Linked DNA regions of Canis lupus familiaris. The protein of the gene in region 1 binds, or shares a complex with, the protein of each later gene. Links are inferred from orthologs where the notes say so. Each region holds a gene or a part of one and is shown on either strand. Other genes may lie near its edges.

Region 1 (5,926 bases):
TGAAAGTCAGCTTTGCCCAGACCTCCTGGGATTGGGAAGCTTCCTGACCAGGATAGGAAAGGTAGGCTGGGCAGGCCACGAGAGCGGCCCTTTAGGGGACAGCTGGTACCACAGATTGACCCTTTGCACTGCTGCCTTAGCTTTGTGCTTTGAAGAACATGAGTTACGAAATGGGAGGAGTAGAGTCCCTTCCGGTTCTTTACACTGACCTTGGAAGTTACCCTGATCTATTTGGACAGGCGGGGAGGGCTGGATCCCATTTTCTAGACCAGTGGCTGCCACATTGTTGTATTTCACAGGCCAGAAACATTTTTTTTAAAGGCGAGATGGGGGCTGGTGGAGAAAGAAAAACAGAAGAAGAGTAGATCATTAGGTTGTCAATTTTTTTAAAGATTTTATTTATTTGAGAGCACAAGCAAGGGCAGAGGGAGAGAGAGAAGCAGACTCCCCATTGGGCAGGGAGCCCAATGCAGGGCTCAAACCCAGGACCCTCGGATCATGACCTGAGCTGAAGGCAGGTGCTTAACCAACGGAACCTCCCAGATAGCCCTGGTTGTCAGTTTTTAAATAAAAAACCAAGTAAACCTATTATTTCATAAAACTAAGGGCATCTTGATACCCTGCCCCCCAAAAGGCAGTCTCCAAATAAAAGATGAACATGTTTAACTACATGAAGAATTTTGTCATTTTGATTATAGTCTCTCTTTACCTGAAGTATTTTCACCACAGCAGTGATGGTTTTTTGTTTTTGTTAAGATTTTTAATTTGCTTATTCATAAATGAGAGACAAGAAAGAAGCAGAGAGAGACACCTGATGTGGGACTCAATCCCAGAATCCTGGGATCACAACCTGAGCCAAGGTAGACGGTCAACCATTGAGCCACCCAGGCACTCCAACAGTGACGTTCTTATTACAGACCAGCAGCAGCCGGTCTCCAGCAGAGCTTATCCAGTGCATTGGACACATGAACACCAGAGCAAAGGCTAGAACCCAGTCTCTTAGTTCCCAGTCTGGCCACCATTGCTGTGCTGCTCGGGGTCACATGGTAATAAAAATGTAGGACTTTAATTAAAATGCCAGCTCTCTTTGTCTAGGGCTTTCCCACTACCTCGCGATTCATATTTGGGGAATGTCTGGTTGGAACTACAAAGTGAAGCGGGTCCTTGTGTCCATCAGAGTTCAGTTCTTGACGGCAAACTCTTGATAAAGATCCTTACTGCACACCAATTTATTAACTTCAAAACAAAGCCAGTAGGTGTTCTGGAGGCTCCATGTGGTAAAATTCCTCCCTCCCATCCAAATACACCCGGCCCTCACTATCACCAAGCACGGCTGCCATAGGTGCTGGGAGTACAGGCCTGAACAAGGTGAAGTCCCCACCCTGGCAAAGTCTGCATTCTAAGGAGGGGAGACAGACAACAAATAAATCAGTAGACGTGTTAGCAAGAAATTACTGAAATACTTGTAATTCGTGGATTAACCTTTTGATCAGTGGTGCAGCTGAGCCTATTTTATACTGAATCCCGTTATCTTGTAAGCTTTCCTATGTGGGGGGCCGGTGGGGAAGGGGAGACAGCTTGGCTCCAGGCAGAACTGGGGATCAGAACCGGATGCTCAAAGGTCTGTTTTTATGCAGTGCCTGAAGCAGTGTGGTGAATTCAGGTGGGACCCAGTTTGACGTTGCCCTCAAAGAAGCACGTACAGCAGACAATGCTGAGTACAGAGGAGGGAGGGTGGCATGTGGGTGTTCGATGCTAGCGTGTGTGCCCTCCCCCTCGTTGGGCACTGGACTGAATGCCCAATGCAGGTCTTTTGTGATACCCCAAATCACGGTGAATAGGTTTTGCTATCCCCACATTACAGATAAGGAAATCAGGTCTTCATAGAGAAGTGAAAATGACTTGCCCAGGGTCCTAAGGGTGGTAAGTGGTAGAGTCAGGAAGTCACACTTCAGAGCCTGTTTGCTTAGCCTCTGCCACAGTCCAGGATGAATCGGGCCCCAACCATTTCAAATGGGGTTTGAAGCAGAAGTCAGGGCCCAACAGGGAAGCTAAGGCAACACTCAACAGAACAAACGGTGGTGCAAAGGGCTTGTGGTGACCAGCTGCCACATAGGTGCTCAGGACCATCCGCAGGAAAGCAAGCGATTTTCCAATCCCAGCTGCCTTGGATGGAAGCTGTTCCTTGCCTTGGCCAGGACTTCTTTCCAGGCTCTGTGGCCGTTGGTTGTTGAGCAGGGAGGTTATTTGCCGCCTTGGATGGGAGGGGGTTACTTGCTGCCACAGTGTGCCTTTGGCATGCACTGTCCCTGCTCTCAGTTGTCTGTTGAATCAGAGTTAGTCAGAGGGGGAGATTTCAGCCTCCCCTGCTTGCTTCCTGTGTAAGCCTTGGGCAGCTTAAGGACTCTGGTCCTCAACTGTCTAGTCTTTACAGACAGATGTCTGTAATGGGCATGAAGCTGCCTGCTTTACAGGAGGAGAGTGAGCTCTCAAGTGCAGTCTGCCAAGTATATGTAAAGGCCTCGCCTAATCCCTGGTACCTGGCAGACACTTGGATGTGCTAGGGGTTTGATGTGTGTGTGTGTGTGTGTGTGTGTGTTTTAAGATTTTATTTATTTATGCATGAGAGACACACACACAGAGAGAGAGAGAGAGGGGGGCAGAGACACAGGCAGAGGGAGAAGCAGGCTCCATGCCGGAAGCCTGACATGGGACTCAATCCCGGGTCTCCAGGATCAGGCCCTGGGCTGAAGTCGGCGCTAAACTGCTGAGCCACCCGGGCTGCCCGGGGTTTGATATTCTCATCACGAAAACTAACCTTGAAAATAGCCTCATTTGGGGCCCTTAGCTGGCTCAGTCGGTAGCACGTGTGACTCTCGATCTAGGGTTGTAAGTTTGAGCCCCATCTTCAGTGTAGAGATTACTTAAAAAATAAAATCACAAAAGACAGAAATAGCTGTGGGGGGGGGGGGGGTGTGGAGGACACGGGTGGCCGTTGCAGATTGCGCCGGAGGTTAGTGGTGTGGACATCTCTCACAGGCTAGAGGACCGGCAGTGGTCCATGTAGAGGAAACCGATGGTTTCACTGAGGCCAGAGTTTATGCGAGACGAGGTGACCATCTTCCAGTTGTGGCAGCCAGGGCCGTGTGAGCTGCTCCGAAGCACCTGGGGGGCTGGCAGAGGGGCCCAAAGAAAGCAGCCCCCGGAGGCTGGGTGGTCTCCGAGGGGGCGGTCCCCATGTCCTCACCTTCCTGGAGGCGGTCGGGGTCTTCCAGCCGGTGGTCTGCCCCCCCGCCGAGCGGCTCTTCTGGGTATCTTTGCCACATGACTTAACTTTTCCATTTGGAAGGGCTGTTGGTGCAGTTGGCAGCCACCATCCTGGTAAACGATATGGTGGGGCCTCCGTAAACCCAGGGCCATGAAACGAATAAGTCAGCACATTGAAAATATAGCGTGGAAGTGACTCAAGCCCGAAGGAATCCGTTTCTGAAAGTGCTGCCATCCCTTCCTGGAATATTTTGGTGGAAATGGATGTTTGAATTAGGAGGAGGCGGCCTGGTTGCTGGTGGGGCCCTGTGTCCGGTTGGGCAGGATTTGCGCTGGGAATCCGCCCCGCCTGGCCAGGCCCCGGGGCCCTCCTCCTCAGTGACGCGGCTCCGTGTGGGTCCGAGATAAGCCCGCTGGAGCTCGGCTCTGCGCGAAGCTAGTGTGAAGCACCTTTGCAGCAGGTAGGGTTGACTCTGCGAGCCAACCTGGTAATGCTTGGCCAGGGGCCTGGAAAGTATTGGAAACTCCACCCCGCACGGGAGCCGGTGGGAGTTCTCGAGCACGGTCGGGTTATTCTCAGAGTTCTTTGGATTCCTATGTATTTCAAATGTTTACCTTCTTCTCAGGACATGAGCTTGTACTTTGCCCACCAGAGACCAATACCAAGCACATACGTACTTAAACGTACCAGACCACCCTGGCGACCAGGTAATTAAAGCTGCACGCAGATTTGGAAGGAAGGCTGTGTTGGAAATCACGCTCCGCTGTAATTCAAGAACAGGTTTCTTTATGGAGGGACACAGTTGGTGTCAGACACATGTGGAAAAGAAAAGAACAGGCCCATGATTCTGGCAGAGTACCAAGGGCCAGATGTTAAATGTGCTGACCATGATGTGGCTCCGGTTGCCATTAGCCAACCTGGATTCGACGTGTTGTTTTAACCCCTGGCTCTGCCTTTTCCTTCCTTCGCGCCAGGTCCCCAGTCTGTGTGAAGATCTCCTGTCTTCTGTTGACCAGCCCCTGAAAATCGCCAGAGACAAGGTGGTGGGAAAGGATTACCTTTTGTGTGACTACAACAGAGATGGGGACTCGTACAGGTGAGCTGCCAGGCCGGGGCCAGGCGCAGTCCCTGTCGCCTGGGACCACTGAAGTCCGGCCGTCCTTCTGTCTGTCTGTCCTCCCTATCTCCCTCCCCACTTCCCTTCCTCCCATCCTTCCTTCCGTCCAGTCCAGCAGTAGACGTTTGTGGAGTGCCTCCAGTAGAAGCGTTGGAGACTCGGCATGGAACAAAGGGCCCCTGCCCTGGCAGAGCTTCCAGTCTAACAGGAGAAGGCTGTCGTTACCACACGGTAGTGGCAGGAAGTCCTGCGAAGTTTGCAGGGTGTAGGGTGTGCATAAGGTGGGGATCTGGAGCACGAGGAGGGCCTATGTGGGTCAGGGACGTCGGAATGAAGCTTGGTCCACTACATACACGACTTTCTTTGTCTTCCATCACCATGCTGAGGGCTTGGACAATGAGGTAGTCATTAGTCCCTGCCCTGAGCGATCACTATTCTAGATCGGGGGATGCACAGGGATGCACTTAGTGGCGGGATGCCGTGTGCTGTGATGCATGCCGCCAGGGCCAAGCTTATTCAGAATTTGAGGGTAGCATGGAAGAGGCTGGGGAAGCTCCAGGATAATTTCCTGAAGGAAGTGATGTCCGAGCTAGGTTTTTAAGGGTGTCTAGGAGTTCTTCCTATTAAGAAAGATCAGGAATCCCTAAACTAGCCACCATTTCTGTGGTGGATTGCTGTAGTCAGTGCCTCGGAGAATGGTGGAGGAATGCAGTCTGCTTTAGGTTTATTTAGAGACCACTGAACCTGGGCTGAGTCTTAAAGATTCAGCTTAATGTTCTTTTGGGGGCCAGGGGCAGGGTCTGAGAGGGGGAAGTAGGGAGAGATGCGTGGAGTCAGCCGACCTCAGCTCCGAACCAGCACTGCCGTTTTGACAGATTACTTGTTATGTCTGGTCTTTTGTTTTCTCACATACAATCTGGAAATAAGAGGATCCATTCTTTGAGCGAATGCATGGGGACCTCTCTGTAAGCGTGCACTGTACGTGTTGGCCCCGAGTCCAAGTCCCTCTTCTGTGGGGCTTCCATCCCAGTGAGGACACCAGGTCGCTGGCAATGCCAAAATGATAGGGACCTGGGAAGGTGAGTCGGAAGGAGAGGCGGGGCGGAAGGTCAGGGAAGGCACGTCTGTGAGTGGTAATACGTGAGCTGAGACGTGGAGATGAGACAGCCGGGTAACGCACCGTCGGGGTGTCAGGTCCCCGTGGGAGCCAAGCCGGTGGGGCTCCAGCTTGGCTGGGAGGCCGGAGCGGGGGTGAGGTCAGAGGTGCAGCAGGGCAGGTGGCGCCAGGCCGTGAAGGATGCAGCAGAGTCACCGGGGGTTACCAGAACTGACACACACCACGTGTTCCAAAACGGAACTGGGTGTGAATCACAGAGATTTCATTAATACTGACTTTTCAGAGAGACCAGATGAATGTTTTATAATCATGTCCCTTTGCCAGCTTCGGATGGAAGTTAGGTGAAAAATAGATTTGGGCCTCGTCCAGACCAGAGACCTGAGTGGAGATGGCGAGCAGTTGTCGGACTGGAGGTCCCTCCTGA
Region 2 (6,436 bases), on another chromosome or scaffold:
TTCCTAACTATCTAGATTGACCAATCCAGAATTCTTGCCTGATTTGCCAAGAAATTTGCCATCTTCCTAGTGTAAAAATCAGCTGAACTCTTGACTTTTTCTCATGTATTTATGATCTTTCCCTCTGCCCTCAGGTGAGAGAATTGAGCCAGGTTCCTTACCTACTAGTTCTTCTTCAAACAAAGAGAACTTAGGGCATGATTTTCTACTTTGATGTGAGAAAAATGCCATTTCTCTCAAGATTACTTATTCCTTCTTTAAATTTCTAAGATCCAATCCATTTACCAGTTCATCATTTATGACTTCGATCTAATCATATGAGCAATCCTAATCTTATGTGAATATTCCTATATATTCACCTAATTGTGTTAAATTGATAATCTGGTATTATTTCAAATTTTATCAATAACTCATTTTATCACCTACCTAAATTCTCTCCTTCTTGATTATAAATATATTTAGCATAATTAATTGCTTTAATTCTTAGAAGATTACTTTTTCATATGTATTTTCTGCAGAAAGCATCCAGAAGTAGCTATTGACATCTCCCTATATTGAATTAAGTCCTTCTAGGGTGGGATAGACAGGGAGCAGATATCATCTCACCTTGAAAATAGATTTGACATGAGTATAATTGCACGGAATATCTAATTTTTCAAGTAATCTGTGAGTTTTTTCTAGGTTAATTTTTCCACCTTTAAATTCATCCCGAATCATTGACAAAAACCATGTATAAAGCACAAAAAAAGAAGTTAAGGAAATTCTCACAGAAAATCATGAAGTACTTAAAATGCCTAAAGAAGTATTTTATTTCTCTTCAGTTTAACGTTTTTATTTTATTCTTAAAGGATAGCCTATCTTGTGCTTAAGTAACAACATAATTCTATGATAAATAATATTTAAAGCAAAACTAAATAGGTACTATTCCGTATTAAAAGTATGAAAGAATTCCAGGAAAAGAATAAAAATAAACATTTGAGAAATCAAGTTATTTGGGAAATGTAGTCTGTTTCCTGAAGAAATGGGCCTGGGGTCAGCTGGGCTTCCAGATCTCCCTGTCTCTTGACCTCTCTCAGCTTCACTTCCTTTGTCTGAAAAGTGGGCAAATTAATACTTAGGAAGTTGGGGGCATTAAATGAGCTCTTAACATACTAGTATACCCAGTTTCTGCTATTCTGCTACTAAGTGTTCAATAAATAATAACCATGTCTGGTATAATTATTATCATCATGACATCAGTTAAATGTCAAGCTATGCACATGCCAAAAAAAAAGTGCAACATTTTAAGTACCATCAAAAATGGTTAAAAATGCCATGCTGAGTGTATGTTTGGTATGAAGTGAAAACTGAAATAAGCGAGCTTACTTCTTGTATACAGATAAACTATAAAAATTAGGACACTTCAATTTGAAAAACTACAGTTGAGAATTGATATGACAGTTTATAAAATCATGAAAGGTATAGGTAAAGAATGTTCAAAATCCCACTCAAATTCAGATCGTTAAAACAAAAAGCCCTTAAATATAATGGCTATGATTTAATATGGCAAAGCTCATGTTCTTATAAGAAAAACACAGGAAGCTTAGAAAAGCTTAGGATGGATGGAAGGAAGCAGTTTATACTTAAATGAGAGAGGCTTAACTTCAGAACTCTTCAAAAAGAATGAGAGGGGAATCAAGCAAAGGGGATAAATCAATAAAAAGAAGAGGAAAGAGGAAGAGAAAGGACTTCTGAGTGGATATTTGTTCTCCATGTTTTCATGACCTGCTCCGTTTCTCCTTGCTTAGAAGTCTCTCCCCATTACGTGTTGTCATGGGTTCCAAATATAGTTAAATCTGCCCTTTTGTTGTAAAGGAATTTCTTTATATTCATCAGCTGTTGCCTCTGCCCTTTTTCTAGAGAGAAAGCAGAAAATACAGAGTGGTTTGTGACTGTGTTCTTTGGAGATCGCTCACACTTCAATCCCACAGAAACCATACGCAAGGCTGGTCCCTGCACTTCACTGCCCTTGAACATCTCTAGCTTCTTGTTACATTTTGCCCATCTTCAAACCCTCCATGTTTATAAATGCACCATCCTCTGCTCTTTGGAATTTGTCTATCAACTGCCATCATATCTTGTTTTATTTTTACTATTTTGTTGACTCACCTCCCGCCGAAATTTTTCAACATAATGTGCTTCCAGTGGGTTTGGGGCAACTACCCTGAGGGCCTGAGAATAAATCAATGCCACTGTGTTCCCCACGGTGAAAGGGCTGCCAAACAGTTTCTAGAAACTCTGGGCTGCTTCTATAGATCCCTGGCAACATATAATGCACACAGAGACACACCACTTTTGAAGAAAGCTGTTCAGGAGGTTAAGTTCTTAAAATCTTCAAAATATGTATAGCTGTTGGCTGGGTACCACGCTGTCAGGTGACTGTCATGTTTTTCTTTGGATCTGAGCACCCATTGTGATATCATCGAAAGTTCCATGCTTCATAGAGCAAGCTTCTTTATGACTTCATCAGGAGACTCAGAGCTTGCCAGACAGCCTGTTTTCATGGTTAGACATAGTAATCTTAAGCTTGAATGTTTAACACCTTGATGGGAAAGGTGTCTCATGGAATGTTTTCTCATCCTTTGAACACTCTTAATTTCAGAAGCCTTGCTTCTGCTGCAACCAAACATGTCACTTAGTGTTCTGAGTAGGAAAGAGAAAGAAAGAGTAATTCGCAGACTGTTAATACAAGCTCCTCCAGGGGAATTTGTAAATGCTTTTGATGATCTCTGTCTGCTTATCCGTGATGAAAAACTCATGCACCATCAAGGTGAGTGTGCAGGCCACCAACACTGCCAAAAATACTCTGTACCACTCTGCATCGATGGAAATCCAGTACTCTTATCTCACCACAACGTAGTGGGTGACTACCGATTTTTTGACTATCAAAGCAAACTTTCTTTCAAATTCGACCTGCTTCAAAACCAGCTAAGAGACATCCAAAGTCACGGTATCATTCGGAATGAGACAGAATACCTGAGAAATGTTGTTCTGTGCGCCTTAAAACTGTATGTGAATGACCACTATCCAACAGGAAATTGCAACGTGCTGAGAAAATCGGTGAAAAATAAGGAGTTCTTGATAGCCTGCATTGAGGATCACAGCTATGAAACAAGAGATTGCTGGAATGGCCTTTGGAAATCTAAGTGGATTTTCCAAATAAATCCATTTCTAACCCAAGTAACAGGAAGAATTTTTGTGCAAGCTCATTTCTTCAGGGCTGTCAACCTTCATATTGAAATCTCCAAGGACCTGAAAGAAAGCTTGGAAGTAGTTAACCAAGCTCAACTGGCTTTAAATTTTGCAAGGCTTGTGGAAGAGCAAGAGAATATATTTCAAGCTGCAGTCTTAGAAGAATTACAGGAGTTATCGAACGAAGCCCTGAGAAAAATTCTACGAAGAGATCTTCCAGTGACCCGCACTCTTATTGACTGGCAAAGGATACTCTCTGACTTGAATCTGGTGATGTATCCTAAATTAGGATATGTCATTTATTCAAGAAGTGTGTTATGCAACTGGATAATATAAAGGATTGCTCCTGGTAATTGTCTTGACCTGATGTAGTTGTGTTTCTGGGAGGGGTGTTGGGATTTTCCTAAAGTTGAAAAGCCACTGGAGATGCCTATCATATGACAAATGCAAATTTAAATTAGGGAAAGGTGTAACAAATAATTTTACTCAGGGAATATTAACCAATAAGGGAAGAAAAGGATGATTTAAATGTGTTTCATGGTAGTAACCATCATAAAGCCAGAGATGTTTATTAGAACCTAAAACAACTTGATAGAATGTGGCACTCAGAAGTATTATAAAGGTGGCTAGGGTATGTATGTGGGGTGTGTGTGTGTGTGTGTGTGTGTTTGTAGGAAGGACCTTTGACTTTCATTGTACCTGGAGAAGGTATGCAGATGAAAGTCACTCTGCAAGTGATACTTCATATAATTCAATTGAGTCCTACCCCAACCCAGAGATAGTGGATTTCACCAAGTGATGTTAGTGTTGGATTTTCCATGAAACCAAAAGATATCAAAAATCTACCTCAGATGAAGAACTATTAGTAAACTTGAATCCACTGCCATCATACCTTTCCCTGTCCTCCAAGAATTGCAATTATTCAAATCTCTGGGCTTTTCTGATAACTAACATGGTCTTTGAAAAATCAACTCAAAAAGCCTGACCTCTCAAGCTTATATAGTCAGGATCTTGTGAAATCATCACTATAAACATTTATGAGTGTTTATTTCATGCCAGGCCCTGTGCTAAGTGATTTGCACATAATTTTTCATGATTAGGCTGGCACTAGTAGTAACTTCATTTTGTGTGAGAAAAAAAATCTAAGATTTCAAGTTGTTTAATTCATCTAGGCACATAGTAAGTGACAAGTGTGTCTGACTCTGCTTTTAACCTCTAGAGTAGGACTGCTCTCCATGGAGGCTTGTTTCATTAAGAATTGTGAACTCTACAGTGATTTAGGCAAGTATTTCACCCAAAAGACACTTCCATAGGAACTGAAATGGGTGGACTGCTGTTTTCTAGCCAAGACTACTATTCACTTACCTTATCACTATTCCTAGCAAGGTTACTGACCACTTGCCTCTGGTCTCAAATTCCAAATCTAAACCTCTCCAATAAGATTGCGATAGAGCAGTAGATAGGCCCCATCCCCTTATTCTGATTACTGGTAGGCAAAATACTCTGTATTTTGGATCCATGCTGTTGAGAAAATATCTTATTCTGCCTTAGAAACATTGGAGCAGACAATATTGGAATTCCTAAATCTCAAACCTTTCTACCTCAACTGGTGGTTCTTGGAGAATCTCAGGAGAATTACCTAGAACATATCTTTAAAAATACAACTTCCCAGTACCCATCTTCAGATTCGGATTTTGTAGGTTCAGAAATCTCTATTTTAGGCAATTATCAGAGATTACTCTGTTGCAAGGGATCCCAGGACCAAATTCTAAGAAATATTGGTCCAGTTATAAAGTGACATATCTTATGCTTTCTATTTACTTAATTAAAATCATTCCTTATAAAACTACTGTCAAATGAAGGTCATGTCTGCTACTTTACTGGATTCACCATGCACAGACTAACGACATACCTTCATCTGTTATAAAAGTTAAGGAAAACCTTTCTAAAGAAAAGTAGCAAAGACAATTGCTCTCATTGTACTAAAATATACCTATCTGACAGATTATTTAGCAAAAATTTAAATTGATATTATGGTTATATATGTAAGTGTTGATTTGCCAGAACATTCCAGAATAGGACTTAATGGTTTATGGAACAATCACAGAAGCATTTAGCTCCCCCTGAAACATGGGGTTTTTAAAATAATATTTATTTGTATGTCTTGATATAAAAAGTCACATGTATAAATCATAAAAAATGCTTGCGGTATAAAGCATTTTGGCCTTTCCTCCGCCCCCCCCCCATTTAATTTTACAGAATTGTTTTAAATATTAAGAATTTATGACATATAAAAAATTTTATCCAGTTCTTTTTCTATAATGTCCTATATCATAAATATAGTCCCATGTCATTAAAATTCCTTGAGCACATAATTTTAATTATTTACATGATATTCATACTGTTCATGCACCATAACAAGACAACTATTTCTCTATTCATACATAATTTAAATTTTTAGCATTTTATATATGTTATTAATTGGGCCATTGTGAACATTTCTATGCATAAAGCTATGCCACGTTGTGGATTATGTCCCTTAAGATAAATTCTCTAAAATTGCATATTGAAAAGATATGAACATATTAATGATTTCAATACATATTGCCAAGTTGCTTTCCAGAAAAATTTAACAATTTATAATCCCATCATAAGAGAATATCTAGCTCACATCAAATGTTTTCTTTGATAGGCAACAGACCTTAAAAGAATATAAATGAATTAAAAAGGTGTTCACTAACTTATGGTATATTATACCAAAAACTGCCCTACACTGATTTTATTTGGTAGTGATTTTCTTTGTGTGGAGCTGGCATAGCCAGAAAAATTTACTACTACTCCTCTCTGTACCTTTATCACACATGTATACACACACACAAACACACAAATATACTAAAACCTATACTTAAACCCTATACTTAAACCTACTCTCTAGCAGTATACATATATACACACACATGACCAGGCATATACACACATAGACAAAAAATGCTTCAGATCCTGAGGACTCAATGCATCATTTTTTAATATTCCAGTGTTTTCTCCTCCCCATCCCTCCCAACTGGAATATAAGCTCCTTAAGAATGGGGACCTTGTCTATCTCAAGGGTCTGGCCCATTACTGACTGTTATTTGGTAGTCACTCAATGAATGAATGAATGAATAAACAAATGAATAAGGGTAACAAAAACATGAAACATGCTAAG

What was found.
Region 2: CAPZB (region 1) and CAPZA3 share a complex: the UniProt entries of both Homo sapiens proteins name them as parts of the WASH complex. The link is inferred for Canis lupus familiaris from reciprocal best matches to the Homo sapiens genes CAPZB and CAPZA3.

What each region holds. Positions count from the first base shown.
Region 1 is NC_049223.1:78,731,594-78,737,519, forward strand, and holds part of CAPZB (F-actin-capping protein subunit beta), read left to right. Parts: exon of another isoform or gene 1-61; intron 62-756; exon of another isoform or gene 757-1,069; intron 1,070-4,242; coding exon 4,243-4,364; intron 4,365-5,926. UniProt on the Homo sapiens protein: F-actin-capping proteins bind in a Ca(2+)-independent manner to the fast growing ends of actin filaments (barbed end) thereby blocking the exchange of subunits at these ends.
Region 2 is NC_049248.1:17,793,455-17,799,890, forward strand, and holds the start of CAPZA3 (F-actin-capping protein subunit alpha-3), read left to right. Parts: upstream 1-2,495; 5' UTR 2,496-2,667; coding exon 2,668-3,567; 3' UTR 3,568-3,580; intron 3,581-6,436. Other genes in the region: PLCZ1 (1-phosphatidylinositol 4,5-bisphosphate phosphodiesterase zeta-1), read right to left, coding at 607-730, 1,743-1,753. UniProt on the Homo sapiens protein: F-actin-capping proteins bind in a Ca(2+)-independent manner to the fast growing ends of actin filaments (barbed end) thereby blocking the exchange of subunits at these ends.